Linked DNA regions of Stegostoma tigrinum. The protein of the gene in region 4 interacts with the protein of the main gene of each other region in a biochemical or structural test. Links are inferred from orthologs where the notes say so. Each region holds a gene or a part of one and is shown on either strand. Other genes may lie near its edges.

The links.
Region 1: of the proteins of mitogen-activated protein kinase 14 (region 4) and mef2aa, one has a biochemical effect on the other in vitro, tested with the Homo sapiens proteins (2 studies listed by BioGRID). The link is inferred for Stegostoma tigrinum from reciprocal best matches to the Homo sapiens genes MAPK14 and MEF2A.
Region 2: of the proteins of mitogen-activated protein kinase 14 (region 4) and myelin basic protein, one has a biochemical effect on the other in vitro, tested with the Homo sapiens proteins (4 studies listed by BioGRID). The link is inferred for Stegostoma tigrinum from reciprocal best matches to the Homo sapiens genes MAPK14 and MBP.
Region 3: the proteins of mitogen-activated protein kinase 14 (region 4) and dusp10 form a complex in vitro, tested with the Homo sapiens proteins (2 studies listed by BioGRID, with this or other methods). The link is inferred for Stegostoma tigrinum from reciprocal best matches to the Homo sapiens genes MAPK14 and DUSP10.

What each region holds. Positions count from the first base shown.
Region 1 is NC_081386.1:13,878,047-13,884,995, forward strand, and holds the start of mef2aa (myocyte enhancer factor 2aa), read right to left. Parts: upstream 3,015-6,949; 5' UTR 2,786-3,014; intron 2,757-2,785; exon of another isoform or gene 2,448-2,756; intron 2,338-2,447; exon of another isoform or gene 2,194-2,337; intron 1,961-2,193; exon of another isoform or gene 1,872-1,960; intron 1-1,871. UniProt on the Homo sapiens protein: Transcriptional activator which binds specifically to the MEF2 element, 5'-YTA[AT](4)TAR-3', found in numerous muscle-specific genes. Also involved in the activation of numerous growth factor- and stress-induced genes.
Region 2 is NC_081358.1:41,218,770-41,225,915, reverse strand, and holds the start of myelin basic protein, read left to right. Parts: upstream 1-4,131; 5' UTR 4,132-4,146; coding exon 4,147-4,167; intron 4,168-7,146. UniProt on the Homo sapiens protein: The classic group of MBP isoforms (isoform 4-isoform 14) are with PLP the most abundant protein components of the myelin membrane in the CNS. They have a role in both its formation and stabilization.
Region 3 is NC_081362.1:53,408,807-53,416,603, forward strand, and holds the start of dusp10 (dual specificity protein phosphatase 10), read left to right. Parts: upstream 1-4,785; 5' UTR 4,786-4,935; intron 4,936-5,231; 5' UTR 5,232-5,278; coding exon 5,279-6,176; intron 6,177-7,797. UniProt on the Homo sapiens protein: Protein phosphatase involved in the inactivation of MAP kinases. Has a specificity for the MAPK11/MAPK12/MAPK13/MAPK14 subfamily. It preferably dephosphorylates p38.
Region 4 is NC_081374.1:27,103,242-27,110,330, reverse strand, and holds the start of mitogen-activated protein kinase 14, read left to right. Parts: upstream 1-4,089; 5' UTR 4,090-4,437; coding exon 4,438-4,553; intron 4,554-7,089. UniProt on the Homo sapiens protein: Serine/threonine kinase which acts as an essential component of the MAP kinase signal transduction pathway.

The DNA.
Region 1 (6,949 bases), on a different chromosome or scaffold from region 4:
CTACTTAAAATAATTGAATCTTCCAGATGGTCCAAGCATCACATCAGCAAAATTGTGCAACCTTCCAAAAACAGTAGTTAATTATATTTATAAACACAACTTAATTTCTTAAGCACTTTTAATTAGTAGAAAGCATTTTGCAATTGTCTCCCCACCACCACCCCCCAGTGTATACGCACATCAAACATTCACAACTGACTACAGTTTGGAGTAAATAAGTATATGCATTTGTGTAGCAACTATCACATCCCAAGAGAGCTCACAAGACAAACAACATGCAAAAAATTAACATCAGTAATGTCAACATGTAAATGTGTATATAGAATTGAAGACATACATATGGCTAAGAAAAACACCCCAAAAACAACAAGAACATTTTTCACAACCAAACGATTTAAAACTCTACACCTTACACATATTTTAAATATATTGCTTTTTGTACAAGACTCCAGTCCATAAGTGAAAATAATACCCAGTCAGTTTCTTAATAAAAAAAATTCAAACAAGATTATTTACTCTGCTGGAATTCTTCCCAGTTCTCACACTGTAGTTGCATGGAATCTAGACAACAAGATTCAGTCATGACCTATAGGCTCTATCCTACATCCAGGTTTCAGTGAATGATGAATTTTCTGCAACTGTTTCTCAAATAGCACAAAAAAAATTTTTCTTTGACTTCTTTTTCTCAATTTAACTAGCTACTTTAAAAAGAAAACCCGACAGATGCTAGTATTTAGGATTCATGGCAAAACGAGCTGTTACATCATAATAATGTGTTGAAGGACAAGGAACACATATTATTGAAGCAAGGTAATATTGATCAAACACATCTTTACACAATACTTCCACTGATCTACACAAGGTTAGAATTCACTATTAGTTTCTTACATCCAAACAACATTCTACTTCATGAATAAATTGAATGGAGAAATTAGCCTTATTGTAGCTAATACTATGCAAACCACACTGCTTATACTTCCAGGAACACTGAACAAACTCAAAGAAATCTGAATGTATTTTGCAATCTGAAGCACATCACAGGAATTGCAATTTTGCATGCTGCACCTTTGTACAGCTGAGTACAAAGTACTGAGTACAGTTGGACAATCAAAGCTGTATGGTTGATCCCTTTACATAATGCAATTTATAGTTGGTCATAATTTACATATTAGAAAACCGACAAGAGCAGCACCTAGCCCAATAAACACAAGAATATTAGAGAATGAAAGCTACAATCCATTCCATTGAAAAACTGTTGCAGCATAATACCATATTTAACCAATCGCAAAGGACAAACCCAAACAGAAAATAAAAGTTGAGATCATTGATGGTTAAAAGGCCATCTTACTAACTTTTGATCACTAACTTCACAATACTGTGTTACACGACAAACAGGCAATGTATCAAGTAACACATTTGGACAAGCCATGACACCATCCATCAAGAATCCAAAATAGTCTTTTAGCTGCCCAATTTTTCAGACAACAGTTAAAAAGTTGTTTTTGAAGCTGGAAACCCACTTATAACAACTGCAAAGTCCACGCAAGGAATATTCTTGAAACATTGTGTACCTCGGATCTCATGCAAAATAAATGCTTCATGGAATTTATAATGTATTTTATACTTCAAATATACCGAAGGAGTTCAAGGGAATAAATTGTGCTGAACATACCAGCGGAAACATGTTTGACGAAATAGGTGAACAGACTTCACATTCAGACTGCTTGTAAGCAGTTTGAAATTAAATTAACTGCCCTTAGTGATGACTAAGCTGAGCTGTCAAACTATTAGGTTAATCTAGGACTTCGATCCTACTGTTCATTCGCACACTAAACAATTTTTTGCATTTTCAACGTTAGCACTATTAATACCTTCAGCCAGACCCCTCGACCCTGCACACGCAATTGAATGTTTTGGAAACTGGATGGATACTTCATAACAGGGCATTTTTCATGGCTCCTTTCAGAATACAAATGACAGCCATTAATCGACTCTGGACGAAGGTGATTCTACTAATCCATCCGTAGACTAAAGATGCGAACGAACACAACTTGGGGTCCACAATTACACAACACTTGGAATAGTTCACCAACCAAAATAAAATAACGCATGAAAGTTTGTTAGAAGAACACAGACACCATTCTCAAAATAAACATGTTTTGGCAGTCAATAAAAAAAGTTGACTGAACTTACCACAGAAAAAAAATCACTAAATCCTGACTCTGAGTCTGTGGGCCTAACAATCCAGCTTCAAACTTTTCAAAAAATAAAAAAAATCTTGTACGTCGCCGCACACTTCCAACTGTTTGCTTTCTCCTGTCCTTAATCAGAGAAATCCTTTAAAAAGAGATGGAGGTGAGGTTGGGGAGAAGGAGTGGAGTGGGGGTGGAATAAGAACAAGCATGCCAGAATATTTCCGGGTTAATATAACAGATCAAGCCACTCACCCCCACTGTAACATCCCCTCAAGAAATAAAGGCCAAGATGAAGACGTTTGGGGAGGGAAGGGGAAACAGCCAAGGCTCAATATATAGATTTCTTTTTTAAAAAATCCACTTTCAAATATATATATTAAAATAAAAGTGAATTGAAAGGTTGCAAAGGATTATTCACGCTGCTATCATATCCAGTCAGACCCCTGAAAGCTCTGGTGCTGCTGCTGTTTCTGTCATTTGCTGTGGGGCTGGAAAGGCAAATAATCCACTTCAAACAAACTCAAATTTCCCTGCCAAGCAGATACATTCGGGTGGCTAAGGGAAGCAGAAATGTTGCTATTTTTACTCACCACTCAGAGGATACTGTATCAGCCGCGAAATGAATAATTGTATCAAAAAGACACAATGTTGCTATTTTTAGTCTCCCACAGACAGACCTGCCCATTCGCTCTCAGCAGCAATCCTCCTTTATCCTTCCGCCCACCCAGGACATGGGGCGGGCTGACGGGGGGGGGTGCGTGAAAAGTGAAACAAACACAAACACCCACCCCCGCCGCCAAATATCCAGCCCTCCACATTACCAACCCCCTCTTCCCCCAGGGTACTGGCAGGTCAGACCCACGATGCATACGGACCCCAGCACCCCCACCCCCACAAGAACAGCAAAGGGGGCCTACTTTTCTCCCAGATCCGCAGCACAGCGCGGAGTAGCACACAGCAGTCTAATGATCTGACGTCAAACACCCCCCTTGTGGAGATTTCACATCCATCCCCCTCGTTTAGTGGTGTGTCTCCCTAAAATCCGCTCTTTTATGTTCAGTCTGCTTCAGCTGGATTGAAGAGGGGTGAACACCCCGAGATGGCGTGCTCTTGTCCCCCCCCCGGACCCTATGAATGTTCCCAGCTTGGGGCTAAATTCTCCTTACCTGCTATTGACGTCATGGGAGGGGGTGCGTGGGCGGGTCCCGTTAGGGCAGGTCCCAATCTCTGGTTGGCCACGTGCACACTGACCGACAGGCAGTCAACCAATAGTAAACTGGTTGGCTTGAAGGGCAGGCCAATGGGCGAAGAGGAAGTGTAGGGTTTGGTTGAGCTGGGCGTTGGGGAGTGAGGTTTGGTTGCGGGAGCAGCGCAGGAGCTGGTTGTTGAGGAAGAGGGTGGGGTGTGCGAGCTTGGTTTTTACTCACTCAGTTACTTATTTATGCATCTGTTGTTGGGGTCCTCTGGAGTGTAACTGTGTGCTTTGGCCGGAGTGTCTGGGGAAAACTTCAGTTATAAACACGAATGCAGAGACAGTCAAGTTCAGGCTGACACTTCACTTTTTGAGGCCGGATGTGTTCATGTCAAACCAACTCTGCCTCTGGAAACTGTTATAAAGAAACTTTAGCTCCAAAAGCTGTGAACGTCTTTCAGAATCAGACAAGCCCAGAGTCAGTTGGGTGTAATTGAAACAAAATTCCATTGTGTCCGTTTGTGAGATGCCACACTAATTGTATCGAGTTTTTAAAGGGATGCATTGGAAAATCCACTTCCCTGCATGAGACTTGTTTTGTCTTGAAATAAATATAATGTTGGCCAACTTTGTTTCAAATAGTCCTTTGGTAGTATTTAACTTGACCTAATGTCAGAGCAGTCCTTTGGAAACGCGTGATTTCAAATACACCTTTTGGACTATAACTTGGTGTCATGTGACTTCTGACTTTGTCCAACCTAGTTCAACAGCGGCACCTCCACATTTGAAATTGAAGGGGCTCAGTTGGCTGGACAGCTGGATCAAGGTACAGAGTGATGCCGGCAGTGTGGGTTCAGTTACACTTTGGTTGCGTTTATCATGAAGGACTCTCCTCAACCCCCTTACATCACCTGAGGATGGGTCACCCAAGGGCTTAAACCTCTCTAATGAGAGTACATTTTGTCAAGGCTTTTCAACTTGCACTCATCAGAACAATTTGCAAGAAATACCAATGGAAAGGGAAAGCAACATTGCTGCGATAGGACCATGCTGATTGGAAGGCAATTGAACTCTAATTGCAAATGCATTGTCAGATGTAGGTTTTTCAGGAGATTCATGAAGATAAATAGGCAGGCAGGAGGTTTGGAGTGAATTCCAGCGCATGGGTCAAAGCTAAGGGTAGTGCTAGCAATGGGAAGCCTGGATGCAAAAGAAGGCAGAGATGTAGGTGGGGAGAATTCTGAAGGGTGGTGGTATTGTCATCACATTTGTGAAGTTGGGGATCAAGGGAGCTGAAGGTGAGTGTTATAAACAATTTGGGCTTTGAGTGAGTATCTGAAAATGTAAATTGAATATGAAGTCAAGTTTAGGGATTAGGTATTCAGTAAGAAGTGGAATTGGTGAGTTATTTGAATAACAAGCAAATGGCAGAGGAGTAAACAGAAGGGCAAAATGTGGTTTGTTCATATGATAATGGTATTTTGGTTGACAAAAGCAGTGGGAAGATTATTGTGGCTTCAGTCAGGCATGACATCATTCACCATGAGCTAAGTTACATTCAGAGCCACACTTAGTCCAGTTTTCCTTTATTGTCATGGTCTCTGACCAATTGCTTTTAAAAAGAAACTGAAACTTCCAGTTACTGCTGAAACATAACAGATCAAAATGCAGCATTTTAAGACATTTTACTACAACAAAAGACAAAAAGTCTATTGGAAAATACTTTAAAGTCAAAGTTACCGACAAAGATAAACTTCAAGATAGAACATATCCCTTTTTCTTTCAGCACAACCAAACACTTCACAAGTTTACTGTCCTTTAGGTGGACACCCAGTTCTCCACAAATCAGCCCAAGGTGATTCTTAAGCCCCAAGGGTTTAATTCTGTCATTTTCATTTCCCATCTTGGAAATTTTTAAATTCAGGAGTGAGATTTATTCAGAGATTCCTCCTGCCGCACATGCTAGGTGAGCCTTCCAACTCCTCATGAATTTTGTACTTACACTTAGCACAAGTTCCCACATCCACTCCTGTGTAGTGAACCACAGTATCTTGTTGCCGAGAGCTATTGTCCCTCTGTAAGTTCTTGGCAGACGAACCTTGTCTTTGAGTTTTCTGGAATACCTTAGCCCCTTCCCTGTCAAAGACTGTCTCCATGGCAACATGTGGGCCTTGTATCCAGGAATAAATGCTCACCATCTATCATGGAGTTATAGAGAGGTACAGCATAGAAACAGATCCTTCAGTCCAACGCGTGCATGCTGAGCAGATATTCTGAGTTAATCTTTTCTCATTTTCCCACATTTGGCCCATATCCCTCTGAACCCTTCCTATTCACATACCCAATCAGGTATCTTTTAAATGTTATAATTGTACCAGCCTCCACCACCTCCTTTGGCAGATCATTCCATACATGCACCATCTTCTGCATGAAATAGTTGCCCCTTAGGTCCCTTTTAAATCTTTCCCTTTTCTCTCCAAACCTATGCCCGCTAGGTTTGGACTCCCCTCATTTAGGAAAAGACCTTTCCTATCCATGCCCTTCATAATTTTATAAGCTTCTAATAAGGTCACCCTCATCCTCAGCACTTAAGGAAAATAGCCCCAGCCTCTGACTGTAGCTCAAACCCTCCAACCCTGGCAACGTCCTTGTAAATCTTTCCTGAGCCCTTTCAAGTTTCATAACATCCTTCCTACAGCAAGAGACCCAATTTGCATATAATGTTCCAAAAGTGGCCAATCAATGTCCTGTACAGCCGCAACATGACTTCCCAACTCTTATACTCAATGCTCTGACCAGTAAAGGTAAGCATACATAACACATTCTTCACTAACCTCTCTACCTGCAACTCCACTTTCAAGGAACTATGAACCTGCACTCCAAGGTCTCTTTGTTTGGCAACACTCCCCAGGACCTTACCATTAAGTGTATAAGTCCTGCCCTGATATGTCCTACGAAAATACAGCATTTCAAATTTATCTAAATTAAACTCCATCTGCGATTCCTTGGCCCATTTGCTGTCCGATCAATGTCCTCTTGTACTCTGAGATAACCTTCTTCACTCTCTGCTACTACTAATGTTGGTGTTGTCTGCAAACTTGCTGACTATTACTCCCTTATTCATACCCAAATCATTTATATAAATGACAAAAAACAGTAGACCTAGCACCAACTCTCATTGCACGCCCCTGGCCACAGAAGTCATTCACTTTTGAACATGAATGTTGTCACCTGGTGTGTTCTACCCTGTGCTTGGTGTGACACCAACAATTAGACTCAAACTAAAAGCAATAAAACTGTGCGCATGAATCTCAAAACTTGTTTTTTATTTATTCATAGTTACAGCATTGCTCGCTAGACCAACATTTTCTGCTTGTTCTAATTGCCCTGGAGAAGGAGATGTTGTGCTGCCTTCTTGAACTGCTGTAGTCTTTGCCGTTGGGAAGGGAGTTCGAAGATTTCAACTCAGCAACAGTGGAGGAGCAGCGATATGTTTCCAATTCAGGACTGTATGTGACTTGAAGGGGATTTTACAGCTATTGTCCTTGTTTTTCTAAGTGAT
Region 2 (7,146 bases), on a different chromosome or scaffold from region 4:
AAACTGTGACCAGTTGACAAAAGTTGACACTGTTTGTTACCAGTTGTTTTTGTTTTGTTTTCCCAGTCGTCATTTGTTGTTGGCAGTTGAGCCTAACGTATGAAAGGGAAATATTACGTACCCACCTCAATACCTTCATACGGGTCGAAGTACCTTGGACATCAGAATTGTGATACGTACTTAATTATGAAAACTCATGAAGAAACTGAAAAAGTTGCCGACTGTAGCTGTAAGTTTCAAATTATTGTTGGGAAAATAGAGGTGTGAGAAATTTCAAGTAAATTAAACATTACATAAATTGGATAAGGTTTATTTTCAATACATACAGTTAATTTTGTATTTTCCAAATGTTATCTGTACAAACCAGGATGCTCCACCAATCAGAAACTCTGATGTTCCCCTAAATGACCAGGAGCAATTCGCCAAACAAGAAACTGTACTGATGACAACTGGTACCTTAGTGTTGTCATGACAACAAAACAAGCTTCACCCGGCCATTGTGAAGTATAATAGCAGCACAGTGAAAAGCTAATGCTATTATATGTGCTTACTTGCTGTCGCAGACCTCATTCAACCCTGTTTTTGATTTCAAACACCACAGCCAAGATTTTCCATATTGAAGTTAAAGAAGGACATGAGGCATCTTAGAGAGCATCAATTCTGTCATGACCTAGGGCAAATTTTCTTGCACGACTGTACCTTTTTCAGCTCATTTTATAAGGAAGTGAGTCATAGTGTGACGTCAACAGTAAGTGATATGGGGTGGGTGGGGAGAGGTTCTTGATCCTGCCAGGATCTCCCAGGTGTGAAGGTTCTGCTGGTATACATAAAAAGCCACCTGAGGCATCCCTTCAATCTCCGCCAAGCTGCAGAGTCAAGAGAGCCTGCGTCAGCTACTCCCTTCCCTACTCACTCATGGTCATATAGCAGGAACAAATCAGCTCCAAGGTTTATGAAAGCCTCATCAGGTTTCGGCTCAATGCCATCCAGAGAACCCAGATAAGTGCTGTCCTCTAGTATTGGCAGCTCCCATCAGACTCAGGCGCTTGGGTCAGTGCCAGTGTGCCACAGGAAGGGCAGCGACTCCTATGTTGGTGGGCCCAGCGTAGGTGGCAGCGTGGCACAGGTATTGTTGGTGATCCGGCTCAGGGCTCAGGATTCTCTTTCAGTCATATCTTTTATCCTTTTCATTCTCAAACTATTCAAAATGGCGCTGGATTGTGGCGACTTTTGAAGCTTTTCACTGTATAATTTTACTGTATTATTCACTGTAATGCTGGTGGCAATAAATAAATCATTCAGCATTCATGAATGGTCTCCTGTGCTCCTCATTGCAAGATCAATCTCTTAGGGCCATCACTTAGTCTAACTCAGCCACTGGCCTGCAAGCCTCAGTCTCTTACCCATGATCTGCTTTGAAGGGCTCACACCTTATGCTCTGAGTATTCTGTTTCCCAGGCATTGCACTTTCTAAATACTTGTGGGAAGCCTACTTTCGGGACACATGGTCATAAAGTGCTCCTGCACCAGTACCAAGGACACACAATCCTTCTCCTTCTCTGCTTGCAGGACAAGAGGCCGAAAAGGCTAAGACCAGTGCAGAGTTGCTGAGTTTTCTTCCCTTATATGGTCCAGGCAGCAGAGTGATAGATGCGGATAGTGACCAGTCCTGAGTCAATAGAAAGATCAGAATGGCAGGAGAAGTCAGTAAGGAAGATTATAGACTGCACTTCTCAGTTGTGTCGTTCCACATGTTCATCTATATAAGGACTGTGCATGTTCACCAACTTATTCTTTCTCTTCTACAGGTATGAGTAGTTAACACACACCGCCAAGAAAAAGAGATGCGTAGCCTCTCCCCATCAGTACCATTTCTGACATGATTGCTCTGAAACCGCAGCAGATGCACCCTCCACCAGCTCAGAGAGTTCCACCTCATTGGGTTATCTGCCTATACTACATACAGCATCACCATCTTGTGAGCACATTACTAACACATCACTGCTGCAATTCAAAGGAAGCTGCATCTCAGGCACCTCAGAGACCTGACACCTAGCTCAACTCCAAGCAAAAGACATGCTCCTGTACTTGGCCCAGAGTAACTTGGAATATCACGCAGGGATGCTGGATATCCCTGTTACACCTCACTAGGGCAGCACGCTCAAGCACCGCTATTCCCAGAGGCATCGCCAAACTTATACATTTTATAAAAGTTGACAAAATACACCAATTTACTTGTGTTTTGGACCCAGTTGACAGAAAACTCAGACAGGTTTCTGTATTTAACAGAATACTTATGTATTTAACATAACTATTTGTTATAAATAAGTAGAGTTTATCGAGAACAACTATGAGCTGTTGACATGTAACTCTACCAGTTAAAACCCTAACTCTCAGTAAACTTACCCTATATACACATATAGACAGTCACAGGCAGACACCAAAAAAATTGGCTGCAATTGGTGAAGGGAAACAGTGTAAGGCAGTTCAATAGGTTTTGTCCACAGGGTTCACTGAAATGATCCTTTTGGCATGTCAGAACTTGCATATGGTTTCAAGCTCATTACCTATCAAAAGGACTCAAATGGTTGAATGATATTAAAGTCAGCCCTCCTTCTGTTTTTTTGGCATTTTTGATTTAGTGGTATCATCAATTCCTGATGCATGCCAGGTATCGCAAATTTAACTGTATTAAATTTACACACTTAAATTGCACCATTTCGCAAATGTTCTGTTGAATTCATCTCAAGTAATCTTTGCATGTTATTAAGTTTTTTTATTTTCAAACATATAGTTATTCATCTTTTACACCATAGCCTCCTCACTTATGGTTCGGGGCTGATGGATAAAATATAATAGAGTAATGACAGAAATGTTTAGAGAAAGACTTTGGTCACAGCACAAAATGGGCATCCAATAACAGCCAAGTGAGAAAGCTAGATAGATTCATGGGAGAAAAGAGTAGAATGATATACTGCTTGTATGAAACAAAATAGGGAAGAGAAGAGGCTTGTGAAGACTGGCATAGATCAATTAGGTGAACGGTCAGTTTCTGTGCTGTGGAATTCTGAAGTATGCCAAACTATGTTCAAATGGTCAAACTACAAACCTTTCTCAGTTTTTATTGCAATTGTGTGACACATGGGTGTTGAGTTATTCATGATTCATGTTTTGTAAGTGCAGAATAAGTTGCAGCATGAGATACAGGCAGTAAAGTTGTATTGAAGAGTAGAGCACCTACACTTTAGAGATAATGGGAACTGCAGATTCTGGAGAATCCGAGATAACAAGGCGTGGAGCTGGATGAACACAGCAGGCCAAGCAGCATCTTCGGAGCAGGAAAGCTGATGTTTCGGGCCTAGACCCTTCAGCTCCACGCCTATTTACACTTTAGAATGGGTTACAGATTTGCACATAAATCAGGCCATTTACTTTTCCAACCTAACTGTAAAAATAAGGTACTGGTAACATTAGATGTGGTAAAATTTTCAAGTAATTATACAGAATGTATAACGTAGAAACAGGGCGTTCTGCCCGACTAGTCTGTGCTGGTGTAGTACCCTCATAAAGCTTCTTTCCACTGTTCTTCATTTCACCCTGTCAGTATATCATTCTATTTGTTTACCCCTCATGTATTCATCCACCTTCCACTTAAATGTATCTGTGCTATTCATTTCAACTATTCCATATTGTAGTGAGTTCCACATCCCTAATTCTAGCTAAAGAAAGTCAACAAAAAGGTTTATTAGTTACTATTGCATATTTCTAGCTATAGTTTTAATTTCTTCTACACGAGAAACATTGTTCTACAGCTTCTCCATAAAACCTTTAAACACCTTAGACTATAATCAAGACAAAATGACTGCAGCCTTTTCGCTGTTTCCCTGCTAAGTATCACCTCTCAGTTCTGACCTGATCTTTTTTTAGATATTTTGAAACTGGTCGTCTGGAGAGGGTGGGACATGTACCTTCTGGCCCATGCATTTGCCCTAATTTCATTAATTTATTCAATTTCAGTCTAATGTCTCAGGTTCTTAGAAGCACTCATTCTTCATTTCCTTGCTGATGTAAATCAAGAGCATCTGTAAAAAGTTATGTTCTTTCAGGCCTGTGCTCTTGTGAAGGGGATTATCTGCCTCCAAGCTAATGATCTGGTCATCTTTACAGGTAGGTCTCCTGTGAACTTACAATTTTTTTTTGCTTTGTTTCAGTCTTTTTGGGTTTAAGCTTGTTTCAGTAGACGACAATTACTAGTTCCCAAAGATTGTTCGGTGAATGTTATTGAATATGAAGTTACTTCTTCAATTTAAACTCCAAAATTGATTGCAGGTATTGAAAAATGTCTGGGGTTTGTTGCAAATCAAATTTGCAGCAGTCAGTAAAAAAATTGAGTTCAAGATAACCTTGATGCAGAAGAGAATTTTGGCTGCTAATAATTCCTGTTTGTTCTTTCTGGTTAATGTAAAATAGATCCCATTGCATTATTTTTAGGAAAAACAGGAGAGTTCCTTTGGTGTTTTGCCTATTATTTCTTCTGATACCACTAAAATAGACAATCTGGTCAGTCTCTTTGCTGCTTGGAAGAGTTTTCCAAGTGCATTTTAATTGCTGTATTTCCTACATTTCAATAGTGGATTCTTTTTTCGTGGGATGTGGGTGTCACTGGCTGGCCAGCATTTCTTGCCCATTCCTCGATGCCTTTGAGAAGGTGGTGTTGAGCGGCCTTCCTGAACTGCTGTAGTTCACTTGCTGTAGGTTGACCCATAATGCCATTAGGGAGGGAATTCCAGGATTTTGAACCAGTGACAGTGAAGGAACAGTGATATATTTCCAAGTCAGGATGGTGAGTGTCTTGGAGGGGAACTTGAAGGTGATGATGTTCCCATATGTCTGCTGCCCTTGTCCTGCTAGGTGGAAGTGGTTGTGCGTTTGGAATGTGCTGTCTGAGGGTCTTTGGTGAATTTCTGCCATGCATCTTGTAGGTAGTACACACTGCTGCAACTGAGCTTCGGTGGTGGAGGGAGTGGATGCTTCTGGATATAGTGCCAATGAAGCAGGCTGCTCTGTTCTGGATAGTGTCAAGCTTCTTGTGTGTCATTGGGGATGCACTCACAGGCAAGTGGGGGGGAGCATTCCAACACACTCCTGACTTGTGCCTTGTGGATGGTGGACAGGCTTTGAGGAGTCAGGAGGTGAGTTACTTTCCGCAGTTTTCCCAGCCTCTGAGCTGCTCTTGTAGCCACTCTGTTAATGTGGTGAGTCCAGTGGAGTCTCTGGTCAATGGTAACCCCAGGATGTTGATAGTGAGGGGTTCAGTGATGGTAACATGAATGAATGTCAAGGGGTGCTGGTTAGATTGTCTCTTATTGGTAGTGGTCATAGCTTGGTATTTGTGTGGCGTGAACGTCATTTGCCACTCATCAGCCCAAACCTGGATATTGTCCAGAGCTTGTTGCATGTGAACATGGACTGCTTCAGTATCTGAGGGTTTGCAAATGGTACTGAATTTTGAGCAATCATCAGCAAAGATTCCACTTCTGGCCTTACGATGGAGGGAATGTCTTTGATGAAGCAGCTGAAGATGGTTGGGCCAAGGACACTACCCTGAGGAACTCCTGCAGAAATGCCCTGGAGCTGAGATGATTAACCTCCAAACACCATGTCCATCTTCCTATGTGTCAGGGATGACTCCAAATACCAGAAATTTTGCCCCCCTAATACCCAGTGATTCCAGTTTCGCTCCTTCATACCACATTTGGCCAATTGCAGCCATGATGTCAAGGGCTGTCACTCTCACCTCAACTCTGGAATTCAACTCTATTGACCATGTTTGAATGAAGGCTGTAATGAGTTCAGGAGCTGAGTGGCCCTGGTGGAACCCAAACTGGGTGTCACTAAACAGGTGCTGAGTCAGTCCTACTCTGTAGCAGTGTTGATGACACCTTCCATCACTTCATTGGTGATTAAGAGCAGACTAATTTGCTGGATTGGATTTATCCTGCTTTTTGTGTACAGGACATTCTTGGTGAATTTTCCAAATTGCTGGATAGATACCAGTGTTGTAACTGTACTGGAACAGCTTGGCCTGGGGAGCAATAGGTTCTGGAGCATAAGTCTTCAGTACTATTGCTGGAATGTTGTCAGGGCCCATAGCCTCTGCAGTACCCAGTGTCCCCAACCGTTTCGTGACATCACATGAAGTGAATTGAATTGGCTGAAGACTGGTATCTGTAATGCTGGGGACCACTGGAGGAACCCGAGATGAATCATCCACTCGGCACTTCTGGCTGAAGATTGCTGCAAAAGTTTCAGCCTTATCTTTTGCACTGAAGTGCTGAGCTCTTCCATCATTGAGGATGGGGATATATGTGGAGTCTCCTCCTCCAGTGAGTTGTTTAATTGTCCACCACCATTCACAACTGGATGTGGCAGGACTGCAGAGCTTAGATCTGATCAATTGTTTGTGGGATCATTCAGCTCTGTCTATCACTTGCTCTTTTCGCTGTTTGGCATGCAAGTAGTCCTGTTTGGTGGCTTCACCAGGTTGATACCTCATCATTCAGTACGCCTGGTGCTGCTCCTGGCATGCCCTCCTGCACCGTCCATTGAACCAGCATTCATTCCCTGGCTTGATGGTAATGGTTGAGTGGGAGATATGCCAGGCCATAAGGATACACATTGTGCTGGATTGCAATTCTGCTGCTGTTGATGGCCCACAGTGCCTCATGGGCACCCAGTCTTGAGTTGCTAGGTTTGGGTAAAGTCTATCCGTTTTAGCACGGTGATATTGCCACATAACACAATGAAAGTTATTCTCAATGTGAAGGCGGGACTTTGTTTCCATAAGGACTGTGTGATGGTCACTCATACCAATACTGTATGGACAGATACAATTGCAGCTGGCAGATTAATAAAGGTGAGGTCAATTATGTTTTTCCCTCTTGTCAGTTCCCTCACCACCTGCAGTAGACCTAGTCTAGCATCTATGCCCTTTAGGACCCAACAGCTCAATCTGTAGTATTGCTGCTGAACCACTCTTGATTGAAATCCCCCACCCAGTGTACATTTGGTGCCCTTGCCATCCTCAGTGCTTCCTCCAGGTATTGTTCAACATGGAAGAGTACTGATTCATCAGCTGAGGGAGGG
Region 3 (7,797 bases), on a different chromosome or scaffold from region 4:
TGAATCTGGTGCATTTGAAGGGTCCAAGGCTGGTTACTGAGGACAAGGGCTATCCAGTGTGATCATGACTGATGACACCATTGCACAACCCCTCAACTGCTTTTACCAGGGCCAAGGTGGCGCAGATGATAGAGCTGCTGAAGATGAGGGTCCACAGCTTGGAACAAGACACGGGTCCACACAGAGTGTGCTGCATCACCCTGGAATGCAGTGCTACGCATAAGTGGAGCAGGTGACAAAGCAATGTGATAGACACTGAGGACCTGAGAGAACAGAAGCAGTCTTCCAGGGTGCAGAATGAGGACATTGGGGAGGAGGATGTGTTCCTTGTGCATGTCAGAGATTAGGTGTGTCAGATAATACAAGTCAGACAGTACCTGATTGATACCCAGTTCCAGTGGATGAGAGCTGGGTGCAGGAGACCATCGTGAAATGTTAAATATTTGCTGGTCATCGTATCAGCATTTAGTTTGCATTGTGGGGATGAACTGCAGCCTCTATTTACTTATATGTGTTTGCTTTTGCTGGATTCAAATTAAAGCTCATCTCTGGAATTGTCTGGTTACTTGCTTTTAAGTGATGTTCTTCTGGTGGGTAACAGAATAGCAGTGACCTAGAGACGGCATTTACAAAAGATGTGGTTAAGAACAGTTAAACTGACCTTTGGTTAAACAAGGACTTGGGTTCCAGGAATAAGAAACTTCAGCTCTAAGGATAGATTGAAGAAGTTGTGTTGTCCTTCTTTGAGAGGAAATTTGATAGAGTTTCAAAATCATAAGCAGCCTGAATAGAGTGGATTGGGAGCAGCTGATCCAGCTTGTAAAAGGAACAAGAACAAGAAGGCTTAGACATAAAGTGACGTGTAATGAAGAAAGGTTGATGTGAGAAAGAACTTTTTCACTCAGCAAGTATTTAAGGTACTGCCTGGAAAAGGGGTGGAGGCATGTTCATTTGAGGTTTTCAAGAAGGTATTGGATGATTAATTGAATATAAATGGTGTGCAAGAGTACGGCGAAAACACAGGTGATTGGCACTTGATAATGATGTTTGTTTGAAAAGCTGGTGTAGGCTAAATGGCGTCCTTCCATACTGTAACTATTCTGTAATTGTGGCTGAGAAGGATGAACTTTATATGTAAGACTGTCTGCCATGTCGGGAGCTGTGTGGCTTTGTGATTGCTGTGCCATTAGGTTGCCAGTGCGGGGGCAACACCAGGTTGCTAATGTTTGCCTGGTGCACAGCAGCCTTGTAAAGATGCCAGAGACACCAGTCTTTCAGCTGATATCCAGGGATTGGCGAGTTCCAGGTGTTGAGATAGGGTTAGAATCCAGCAGGAGGCATGTCACAGCACCAGAGCAAGTTGTGAATGAGGTGATTTTGGTAACACACAGTTAAAGATCTCACCAGACTTCTTGGCAAAAAACTCTCCAAAAACTTGCATGAATGACGTTTTGCCAAACAATGTAATGTTCAGCCCCAAGTTACAATTTTATTGCAGACAAAAAGAATCACAACTGTTTAAACTACAGATCAAGACAAATTTGTTGGGCCATTCAACCTGTTCCCATCCTGTAAATTTATGTAATCTATTTATCTCCAAAATTAATTAGGAAAACATGAATTACGCACTCACTAACAATACAAGACTTTATCACAAAAGGTTCATGTGGCATAGAATTGTTCCTAAAAGTCTATAATTTGAACACATAGTCCGGGGGTTTCCTCCAAGCTGTTCCATTCCACTGGTACAACCTCACCAGAAAAGCAGCATAAACAGGGTTTCTGCCAGACTTCCTACATGGTTATGGAAATGGAGTGAGAACAGCTTTGAGGGAATTACCAACCATAATTTCTCCCTACTTAAATGATTGTGGTTTTTACTGAGAAAGATGATTGATGATTATATCAGATCAAGAATATTATTTACATTTTAAACAAACAAAAGGAAGATTTTCCAAAGCTCTTTTCAGTAAATAACATACTTATAAAATGTGGTTAATGGTGCAATGAAGGAAATAATGCAATCAATTTGCACACAGCAAATTGTGGAAACAGCAATATGGTAACAAACAGATAATCTGCTTTAATGATCTGAATGAGGTATACACATTAGTTAGCCACCAGAAAGAATTCCCTTGCTCTTAACAAACAGTGTCACAGTCTGGGTTTTAGAGGGGTTTTACTTAAAGTCTCATCTGAAATATGACAAATCTGTAGTGTTCTTTCAATTTTGCTCTCAAATTGCAGTCTACATTATGCGCTGAAAGTGCTAGAGTCACACTTGAACCATCAACAAACTTCAGAGGGATATTTTCCTGCTTTACACCTGGTTCTGCCATAGTGGATATTCAGTGGGGGTGACCAGATGGCGATAAAGAAACATGCCTTATTTTCCAACAAAAACTAAGTGTACAGTGCAGGGCTGTCCATATTGCTGGTACATGATCTCCCACCCTTCAGAACAAGAATTTAGCCCTTCAAGCTCAAATTATCATTCAATGGTGATTTGTGACCGACTTTTCATATTCAATTTTGCCTAATATTCCTTCAAATCTACAAAGAACAAAAATCTATCAACATCAGTTTTAAATTTAATATTTATCTAACATTTTTTACTAGTGGAAGGGACTTCCAAACTTTAGAGTGATAGAGATGTACAGTATGGAAACAGACCCTTCGGTCCAACTCGTCCATGCTGACCAGATATCCTAAATTAATCTCATCCTATTTGCTAGCATTTGCCCGTATCCCTCTAAACCCTTTCTATTCATATACCCATCCACATGCCTTTTAAATGTTGTAATTGTATCAGCCTCTACCACTTCTTCCAGCAGCTCATTCCACACACACCAGCCACTGCATGAAAAAGTTGCCCCTTAGGTCCCTTTTAAATCTGTTCCCTCTTATCTTAAACCTATGCTCTCTACTTTTGGACTCTCCCACCTCAGGGAAAATACCTATCAGCCTCTGACACTTCAGGGAAAATAGCCCCAGCCTATTAAATCTCTCCCGACAGGTCAAACCCTCCAAACCTGGCAACATCCTTTTTAATTCTGTTATGAACCCTTTCAAGTTTCGCAACATTTTTCCTTCAGCAGAAAGACCAGAAATGAATGCAGTATTTCAAATGCAGCCTAACCAATGTCCTATACAGCTGCAAAATGACCTTCCAACTCCTGTACTCAATTCACTGACCAATAAAGGCAAGCATACCGAATGCTTTCTTCACTATCCAGTCTACCTGCGACTCTACTTTCAAGGAATTATGAACCATCTGCAAACTTATTAATTTTACCTTCTAGATGTAAATCCAAGATATCAATGTACCTAACAAACAGTAAGGGTCTTAGTTTGTGTAAACGTCTTTCTAAAATTGACTCCTGAAAGGTCTGGTTGGCTCTAATGTTTAGAATGTGATCTGTAGTTCGAGACTCCCACCAGAAGTAGTATCTCTCGCTTACTCTTACATTATTTTTGTTTTGAAACTTTGATCAAATCACCCCTTAAACTTCTAATTTCCGAGGAATACAACCTTGTTTGTGCATTGCTCCAAATTATTTAACACTTGCAGTACAGGCATCTTCGAAATCTATGCTGCATTGCCTTCAAGGCTGCTATCTCTTGTTTAAGGTATGCTTGCCCGGACTGACGGACTGCTAACAACCAACTGACATTCACTACACCCATCTGCTCTAATATGTGGTAAGTAAGAAATCCTGCCTCCTAGTGCATGCAGAGTAAATACAGTTTAGATAAATGTTTTCACAGTAGGAAGAATACTTAACCACGTCGAAACAATTGCACGCAAGAGTTAATTGATCTCCAGTATTACGCTTAACCTTGCTTTAAATAATGACAACATCCCATGTGTTGGTACCGTTCAAGATTCTCATCGTTGTTAACTCAACCATTTACAGATAAATTATTTTAAAGTACCCCACAAGATCTGCCACCGACAATAAAAAGTTTCAAGAATTATCGTTTCCTTCTCGCCATATCGTTTTATTTTACTGTACGTGTTTTTTTGCAGTACTTTTTAGATAATAGCAGTGAATTCATGGCGGGTCCAGTTGAAGTTCTCGGTGCAACATTGGCGGGCTTTTTTGTTTCAATTATCTGCAACATCATATGCTGCTGACGCCAGCTCAATTTCAAGGTGTTACTACGGCTTGGGGAGGAATACCCGGCCGTCTTGTTTTTATTTTGATTTTGCTTTGCCTTCTAGTTTATGTCCGAAATTCCGACCAGAAACACTGTTGTGGAATGTTACGCATCAGGAATTGTAATGAATGATTTAAAACATGAGTGCAATTACTTAATGAATAGTAATATGGCGTGAAGAGGAAAACAAAATGAGATGACTCGGCTGTCCCTTTTCATTAAAACTTTGACTGACCCTGTTGGCACTGACTCTGGGTGCACTAGCCCTGGCTGCATTCATTCTGATTCCATGGTCACTTTAAACTGGTATTGGCTGCATTGGCCCTGGACGAGAAAGAGCCAGCAGCCGCTCGATTCCGGGAGCAGCCTCGCTAGCGGCCAGCCCATTGGCTGCCAATGATGTCATGCAAACGATAACGTCGACGCCCGGCCGACCAATGAAGGTGCGGTACCCGCCCTCTGCCGACGGCAATTGGCCAAAACGTCGGGGAGCGGGTTGCGAAGCGGGTCGAACCTTGGGAATGACAGACTTCCATTGGTTGGACATTCCGTCCATCGACGATACGGCCCCGCCCCCGTCAGGTAAAGGCGAATCGCGTTGTTATAAGAAAAAGTGTAGTTGAATTAAAGCGGCTGTGGCGGGGTAACTAGCTCAATGAGTTGAGAGACAGGGAAAAAAAAACACCACAAATGTTGGGAAGTTTCTCTGGGACTAGATCACTAACGAGTAGACAGTTAAGTCCCAGGAGAGCGGGAGGAGCTGCACTTAGTGATGTGAGTACATTTTTCTCAATGGCTTCTTGCAGCGGAGTGAAGCCCCAGCTCCGCACAAAGTTGTGGCTCAACTTGGACTTTAAATTGCAAGCACCTCGCCCAGAGAATAAGCGGGCAGTTTGTTGATTACTTAAAAAGAAAGGTTGCCCAATGAAGGCGCCTGTGCCTCGAGTTTATTTTTAGTTGCGATCCCCTTCTATTTGCGGCAGAAATAACCAATGCGTGCCTCTGAATTTATTGCTCTCCCCTCCCCTCCCTCTGCTCTGATGCTGACAGTACATTTGATCCCGTTTCAGTCCATTTCCTCCACGGATCGCCAGCAGGGCTCATCAACATCATCCTGATGCCTCCATCCCCTCTAGACGAACGGATTGTTGGGGTGGTGGCATTGCCGAGGCCGGTCAGACCGCAGGAACTCCATCTCCGTTTGGATCACACCTACGTGGCTTCTTCTTCTCTTCCTCCTTCTCGTCCCGGAGCAGCGGCGACTCCGGCAGCTGGCCATCCGAAAGCTCAGAGCCTGGCGGCGGCAGCGGCTCCGCTCCCGTCCCGAAGCGGCAACTTTCCGTATATGCCATCATCTAACGGCTCGGTGCGCTCCCTGTCCTGCGGATGCAGCGGCGCTAGTTGCTGCACGGTGAGCACCTACCCTCCCAACAAGGGCGACCCGGGCTCGGTGGCGGGGGGCAGCCACCTTCTACCAGCCCCGGCTGCTGCTGCTGCCGCCTCCTCCTCCAAACTCAGCTGCCCTTCCTGCGCTGGCAGCCCGATGGTGAGCGGCAATGAGAACGGCGGCTCTGCTGCAAGCCCCCCGGCTGCCGGAGTCGGAGGAACCCCGTCCCCTCCGGCCGCAGCGGCCGTCCGCACCATCCCCCCAGCCGAGCTGGCCAAGAAACTGACCAAAGGCAGCGGCACCAAGGGGCCCCCGTCTCAGAGCCAGGGACCGGTCATCATCGACTGTCGCCCCTTCATGGAATACAACAAGAGCCACATCCAGGGAGCCGTCCACATCAACTGCTCGGACAAGATCAGCAGGAGGAGGCTGCAACAGGGCAAGATCACCGTCCTGGATCTCATCTCCTGCAGGGAAGGCAAGGACTCCTATAAAAGGATATTCTCCAAGGAGATAGTAGTTTATGATGAGAACACTATTGAGCCCAACCGGGTGCTGCCCTCTCAGCCACTTCATATAGTGCTGGAGTCGTTGAAACGAGAAGGCAAGGATCCGCTGGTTTTAAAAGGTAAACCTTTGGAATCTTCCTTTTCATTTAAAAAAAATAAGAAAGTTTTAACGATCGGATGTTTCCAGAGTTTAGGGTAGAGTAGAATACAGCTATAGATATGTTCGTTGCCTTAGCAGTCTGTTCATAAAGCAAAAGTCGTCAGGAGTTGGTAGTAATTTGTAGGCGACACAGCCTGCGGAACTAATTCAGTTCGTTTCAAGGTTCGATCGATTTTAGGCATTTTAGTTACATAGCCTGAACGTGAAGTGCGTAAAGCGATTGACTTTGAAGCGAAGACGGTGACCTGTGTTATTTTTAAATTCTGCTTATTGAATGAAAATGTCTGTTTTGAAATGTCACATTGCAGGAGCGCAGGGCAACATCCTGAAAACGAATACAGTATGTGGAGCACGTCCCTCCAGCTACTGTGCATGACTGCTTTACTAGCACAGAAATTGAGGGGGAAAGAGACCATTAATGATGATTCATGCATGGTCTGCAAATATGAACAACTTCTGAAAGGTCCTGATTACATGACAGACATAATCTCCAATGCAGCATAATTAGAAACATTGACTTAATGATATCGACCTTGTTTCGTTCGAATGCAATGCAGTATATGCATTTTCAATTTCGTTGCAGTAGATGCATCACATAAAGAGTGAGCAGTATAGATGACATTTACAGTAGCCAAGGCAAAACAGCTGAACAGCTGCAGTATTGACCGTCCCCACAAATTGGTGTGGGTTTGAGTCCTAAGGCAGTTTGTCACTCGAAGCTGCCTGCAACAGTTGGGATTAAATTCTGCCAGTTTTAGCCAGGCTGCTAGGTGGAGCACGTTTGCTTGTAGCGTTTGTTTCAAGGACAATGAAAAAGTGATAATATGCCTGTCTGGTCTCACCACAGCATGCTTCCTCTTGTTGGTTAGCTGCAGAACATGATCTGAAAAATTTGAGTGACCTTCAGTGTCAAGAGAGGGGCCCATGTTGGAAAACATGCAAAGGTGCGGACAAGAGCAAAGAAATTATAAGCTACATGATGGAAGAGTGGTTCAATATTTATTATAGCTCTAACATCATGAGCAACAGGGAATACTTTGTAAATGACGAAAGACCTGCTCAAATGCAAACATAATTGGTCACAGGAGATCCAAAAATCATTGTTTTGGTAATAAGAGAGAGAGGTGTGGCCTATTCTGAAGGTTATGCAGAGGTAATAGAAAAAGATTTATTAAAATGATGCCTGAGAATAGAGTTTTAATTACAAGAAGAGAAGGGTCCACAAATAGTGTTGGAGAAACTCAGCAGGTCTGGCAGCATCTGTAGAGAGAGAGAAAGAGAGTTCAAGGTTTTTGAGAAGATTTGTGGCTTGGTTTGTTGATGCGGTTGTTGACCTTGCTCGTCGAGCAAGTTAGCAGTCTCAAAAACGGTAAATGTTTAAGTCCAGTGACCCTTCATCAGAACTGAAAATAGCTGGGGAAAGATTGTATTGATGCTGGTGACGGGTGGAAGAATAGAATATGTAGAGATGGTGCCCAGCGAGAGAGAGTGATGGGGTGATGGAGTGGGGTGGGGGGAGGAAAGAAAGAGATTGCTGAGGATAAGCTGAGAGTGAGATAATTGTTAGGAAGTTGCCAATG
Region 4 (7,089 bases):
TCGTTCATATGGATTCATTGTTGTCATTTAACACTGGCCTACATGTGACTCCAGACCCACAGCAATGTGGTTGCCTCTCAACTGCCTTCTGAAATGGCTTAGCGAGCCACTCAGTTATGCCAATTGCTACACCGTCTCAAAGAAATGAAACCAGACAGATTACCTGGCATCGACCTAGATGTCGGAAAAGACGACAAGAGCAACCCTGTCGACCTTGAGAAGGGCATAATTTAATACTGTGTCGAGGACTCTGCACCTCACAGCCTAATAGATTTGGCAGCAAATTCCCTTGTTCATGTGGATTCACTGTTGTCATTTAACACTGACCTACATGTGACTCCAGACCCACAGTAATGTGGCTGACTCTCAACTACCCTCTGAAATGGCCTAGCAAGCCACTCAGCTCTGCCAGTCGGTACAACATCTTAAAAAAATGAAACTGGGCAGATTACCTGACATTGACCAAAGCACCAGGAAAGACAATGGCAAAAATAACCCTGCTGACCTTGCAAAGTCTTCCTCACTAACATCTGGGGGCTAGTGACAATGTTAGGAGAGCCGTCTCACAGATCGTTTAGACACAGCCCGACTTAGTCATACTCACTGTATCATATCTTACAGACAATGTTCCAGACACCACCGTCACCATGCCTGGAAATGTCCTGTCCCACCAGCAGGTCAGACTCGGCAGAGGTGGTGGCACACTGGTTACAGTCAAGAGAGAGTTGCTATGGGAGTCCTCAACATTGACACCGGACCCCATGAAGCCTCATGGCTTCAGGAAACCTCTTGCTGATTACCATGTACTATTCTCCCTCAGCTGATGAATCAGTACTCCTCCACGTTGAACAACGCTTGGAGGAAGTACTGAGGATAGCAAGGGCACAAAATGTACTCTGGGTGAGGAACTTCATTGTCCACAACAAGAATGGCTCAGCTGCAGTACTACTGATCGAACTGGTCGGGCCTTAAAGGACATAGCTGCTAGATTGGCACTGCGGCAGGTGGTGAGGGAACCAACAAGAGAGAAAAACACACTTGACCTCATCCTTACCAATCTGCCAGCCGCAGTTGCATCTGTATATGACAGTATCGGTAAGAGTGACCATTGCACAGTCCTCGTGGAGACAAAATCCTGCCTTCACATTCAGAATAATCTCCATTATGATGTGTGGCACTATCACTTTGCTAAATGGGGCAGACTGCATTCAGATCTAGCAACTCAAGACTGGGTATTCCATGAGACACCATAGGCCATCAATAGTAGCAGAATTGTACTCCAGCACAATCTGTAACCTCATGGCCCGAGATATCCACAACTCAGGCATTACCATCAAGCCAGGGGATCAACACTGGTCCAATGGAAAGTGTAGGAGGGCATGCCTGAAGATGAGGTATCAACCTGGTATCGAACAGGGCTACTTGCATGCCAAACAGTGGAAGCAGCAAGTGAGAGACAGAGCTGAGCAAACCCACAACCAACAGATCAGTTCTAAGCTCTGCAGTCCTGCCACATCCATTCGTAAATGGCGACAAACAATTAAACAACTCACTGGAGGAGTAGGGACAACAAAAATCACCATCCACACTGGCCTAGCACATCAGTGCAAAAGATGAGGCTGAAGCATTCACAGAAATCTTCAGCCACAAGTGCTGAATGATGATCCATATTGGCCTCCTCCAGTGGTTCCCAGGATTAGAGATACCAGTCTTCAGCCAATTCGATTTACTTCACGTGATATCAAGAAATGGATGGGGACACTGGATTCTGCAAAGGCTACAGGCCCAAACAACATTCCAGCAATAGTACTGAAGACTCGCGCTCCGGAACTTACTGCTCCTCTAGCCATGCTGTTCTGGCAATGCTACAACACTGGTTTCTACCCAGTAATGTGGGGTACACAAAAAACAGGACAAATACAACCCGGCCAATTACCACCTCATCACTCTACTCTCAATCATCAGTAAATTGATGGAAGGTGTCATTGACAGTACTATCGAGCAACACCTGCTCAGCAATAACCTGCTCAGTGACGCCCAATTTGGGTTCCGCCAGGTCCACTCAGCTCCTGACCTGAGGAGAGGGGAGACTACAGTCTCTAAAGTAAGAGGATATCTGGGAAGTCTTAGAGTTGAATGCCTCATTCTGGCAGCAGATGTGGTGGAGGTGGAAGAATTGTGAGTATGGGATAGAATTTTTGCAGGAGGGTGGACGAGTGGAGATGTAAATGTTGGAGTCAATGAGCTTGAATTGGATGTCATTGGTAAGCTGGTTATTTGGTGATGGAAAGGAAGAGGTCCAGGGGGGGAAGAGGTGCCAGAAATGGTCCGAGTGAATTTGAGTGTGCAATGGAAGATGCTGGCGAAGCTGATGAAGTGCTTGAGCTCCTCCCGGGAGCATGAGGCAGGACCAATCATTAATATAACTGAGAAAAACATGGGGGATGGCGCCGGTGTAATTGCTGAAGAGGGACTATTCCACAAATCCTACAAAGAGGCAAGCATAAATCAGGCCCATGTCAGTGCCCATAGCCACCCCTTTATTTTGCATGAAGTGGGAGGAGTCAAAGGAAAATTGTTGAGGGTGAGGACCAGTTCTGCCAGGTGAATGAGAGTGTCAGTGGACGAGGATTGTGTGGCCCTACAGGTGACGAAGAAGTGGAGTCCTTTATGGCTATTATTGTGGTAAAAACAGGTGTACAGAGACTGCATACCCACAGTGAAGTTGAGGTATTGGGTGGTGGGAAATTGAAAGGTTTGGAAAAGGTGGAGGGTGTGGATTGTCCCAAATGTAGGTGGGGAGTTCCTGGACCAAAGGGGAAAAGATGGAATCAAGATAGTGGGAGGTGAGCTCAATGCAGCCGGAGTAGGCAGAGACAATGGGTCGTCAGTTGGATTTATGATCTTGGGTAGGAGACATAAACAACTGGTGCGGGGTGCGGGACCTATCAGTTTGGATATCAGGAATTCAAACTTGCAGACAGTCTGCAGTATGATGCAAACTACACCAGATGATCATCAGTTTCTCCAACAGTGTGCATGCTTACTTATATTGTCTCACTAAATGTAGGGAATTGTAAGTGTGCTGTATTTATTCTCAACCCTACCTACAATGAATCCACAATAGAAATGTAGGACAGAGTATTAATAAAAATATAAAATGGCAAGTGTTCGATATGACATCCAGTCTTTATATATTATATAGTAATACTTGCATACAGGTACGTCTAATGCAGCTTGCTATAAATTCATTAATCTCAATCCAGCAACTGATCTTTGCAAAATTAGACTATAAAAGTTATATAGGGGCAGGAAAAGGCAATCAAATTCACCTCAGCCTAGTAAGCCTATAGATGAAGCCATGTCTGGTTCAGTGACCTAGTCCCTTAACCCTCAATATATAGAACATACAACAATGTAACATAAGAACACATGCCTCAGTCCATCAAGTCTGTGCTGACCATGATTCCATTCTATACTCATCTCATCTGTCTATTCTCTGACTGTGTGTCTGTGTAAATGCCCCCTAAACGTTGTTATCTTATCTGCGATCGTCCCAGGCAATCTTCGCGAACAAAAACCTATCGGCCTCAGATTTAAAATTCACAACTTAACAGCTATCCTTTTGCACCTGTGCGGGCAATAACTCAATGCGTCGTTTGTGCTCTTGTGCCTGTCTGTCTGTCTCTGCCACAAATCATTTTTCAGCGGCACCTCCACAGTGTCAGTGGCATGTTAGACTATACTGCCTGGCTTTCTGTGTTACTACTCCTTTCCTCCAGATGCTGCCTGGCCGGCTATGTTTTTCCAGCCTCCTGTTTGTCTACGTTGGATTCCAGCATCTGCAATTTCTTCTTGTTTCTATTAAAACGCAAGCGTTCGATATACAGCAGCCGACAACGGAAGGATAGTGAGCAGCGAAACGGAAAGGCACGAATGAGGCCGAACAACAGCACTGGCCGTTGGGAGGACGGAGCCGCGTGCCCGTCTATCCGCGCTCCGCCGACGCCCGGGGTGTGGGCGAATGATATAACGCAATGACCGAACCATACCGCGCGCATAAGGGCGCGCGGCTGTGGGCGGGGCCTATGACGCCAGCGCGTCCGAAGAGGGAAGTGGAGCAGCTCGAGCCGTCGGGTGTCAGATGCCATTCCCCGTGGGGGGTGTTGATGTTACAGATCCACTTCATTTGAATGGATTTTACTTTCTCCACATCGGGATTGTAAAAAGGAGTAACATAACAGCCCCGCCCACCTCCTCAAGTCAGTCGTTTTTGAGATACGGAACGGGCGGTTTCTTTCAAAATTTTAAATTCTTCTTTGCAGCAACTCCTCTCCGCACCCTGACGCCTTCCCCTTCCTCTCTCCGTCCACCCGCCTCCCTCAACCACCTCCGACCCTCCCCTTTTCTAAGAGAGGAGAACAGCCTCCCTGCACAATGTCAGGAGTCAGGCCGCACTTTTACAAGCAAGAGTTGAATAAGACAATCTGGGAAGTGCCGGAGAGATACCAGAACCTCTCTCCCGTCGGATCTGGGGCTTACGGCTCCGTCTGGTACGTGTGCCGCCGCTGGTTTCAATTATTTTAATTTTTCCCGGAGCCGCGCACAGGTTTCTGTTTTTGCCCCAAGTTGTGGGAAAGTTGTGCAAGAGCTGCAAGCAGCCTTGCCAGCTGTGCACCCCTGCAGGCCTAGCTAGGCCCGCACTTTCTTCATGAGCCATTAGGATGTTTGGCGTCTGTTTCATTGGGACTCCCGCACGCTATGGTGCACGCATTGCACTTTTTAACGTTTTCTGTGTGCAAAATCTTTAAGCGGGCTTGACAAAACGTGTTCAACTCTAGTCAAAAACAAATTGCTCAGTAACTTTTTGCATGATGCATTGGTTTTCTCCACTGTTGAGGCCGCCTACCGTGTGCAACAAAAGGGGTAAAGCAGCAGTGAAAGTTTACTGTATAGTTCTAATTCCGGTTTTTATTAAGAAAAGCCATTGGATTTTAACCGATCAGTTTCCCTTGTGGATTGATTCTAAACCCTGTGGTATATTGATAGCATGTCTAATCCTTTCAGTCGATACAGCGATTGTCTCTTAACCACAATAATTGCTCTTTATTGCATTTATAGTTGCAAGTTTCATTTTCATGGGAATACTTTTATTGACTAAATTCTATTGTTGAACGGCATTGCTTTCGACCCTTTTGTAGCTTGCTTCGCCATATAGGCACAGTACTGAAATAACGAGTAGTTTGATAGCAGTTTATAACTTAATGATTTGCACAATTTGGATAGTTTCTTATTTTTGTATATGAGTATTAAATATGAATCTTGCGATCCTTTTCAACCTAACGTGAGCCTTAAATTCACATTCTTCGCTAACGGCTTTTGTTTAAAACTATGAAATGCTACCATTAGCAGTGGAGTAGAATTGTGGGGTCAATAGGAGCCTAACTGCAGCAATGACGGCTGGAGTATGGAACTAGATGCTTACAGAGTTGGGTAGTGTTGCGGAAGGACTTATACAAATGAGGTGGATCATTTCTACCAATTGAAAAAATGTGAAAAGATGAGTGACAAAATTTGGTCAAGTTTGAGATTGTTGACCCTCTAAGGTTCCTTATGAACAAACAGAAACACAAATGGAAAATGTGCATATATATGTAAACGCGAGTGCTGAGCATCACAAATATTGATTTCATTACGCTTCCGATAGATGCCTATCTGTCTACAATATTCATCATGCAAGTAAAAGAATACCCTTCACTGCTTGGGTCAGTGGCTGAAATAGTCCTGATGTTCTACCAACGCTCTGATTTGAGAAGCTTGGGTGTCAATACTGAGTATTTTAAACTTAACAAGTCGCTGTGCAGAAGCAGATCGTGGGTGTTTTCATTTTGGAAATACGAAAATTTAAGTGATTTTTTTGACTGCAACATTGGGAAGCTAATTGTGGGCAACTAATGCATTGTTTAACTGAAATTAAAGAGTATGACAAATTAGTTCTGCCTGCAAATTAGATTTCTTCTCTATCTGTGGCATTGATTTTGCATGATATCTCATTTGTGTTAGTCACTTACTTTCTTTTCACACAATTGGTTATGATGATGAGCACCATCTAAAGTAGTTTTTTTTCAGAGTGACAGCTGCTGAAGGATCCAATATCCATTTGGCAGGGCATTTCTTGGGGTACTGTTTAATGTGCTTGTGGTGGTGTTTGGGTCACATTGCTGGATGGTACTGGTGAGTTGATAAGTCAGCTTGTCTAGTAATGTTGTTTCATCATTTGCAATCAGCCCATGATGCCCTGAGATGCTGTGATGTGTTGTGGTGAATGCACATACATTTATTTGCTATTATTATCATATACACATTTGCCAGTACAGCAAATCCATGGATATATTAAATGTAGTAAAATCCATGATAGGTCTTAACAGAGATAGTAGGAACTGCAGATGCTGGAGAATCTGAGATAACAAGATTAGAGCTGAATGAACACAGCAGGCCAAGCAGCATCAGAGGAGCAGGAAGGCTGATGTTTCAGGCTTAGACGAAATGTCAGCCCCACACCTAGTTATCATAGGTCTTGGCAGTCTTATTTTGAGATGACGAGTTAGTTTAAAGTGCAGACTAGAAAGTGAAAAGAAATTCAGGGAATAAGAAATTAGAAAGTAGAGCTACATGCCACTGTAGTTCTTAATTTTGACCTGTTCTAAACCTGAAATGGGTTTTTTTAGTCGAACATCAGTAAAACTATTTTGCTGAAATAATGAAATGTTGAATCAATGCTTCAACCCTCAGTTTAAAAGAAATAAGATTTTTCTTTTGAGGATTCTGTCCTGAGTGCTTAACTGCATTTCATTTGAGCCAAATGTTTCTGTGCTATTTAATTCATTTTTTCCCCCACAAAAGTGGGAACAAAATACTGTCATCAGTATTGTTAAGTCTTTTAGGAGACAGGAAACCGGCAGTGCGTTAAGCAGAGCAATTGATTAAGCAGTAGTTTTCTCTCATCACACTTGGTTTCCTTTGGATGTAAATGTTGCAGTAAATATTCACAGACACTGCAGAAAAATTTTAATGTTAGAGTACAACCTA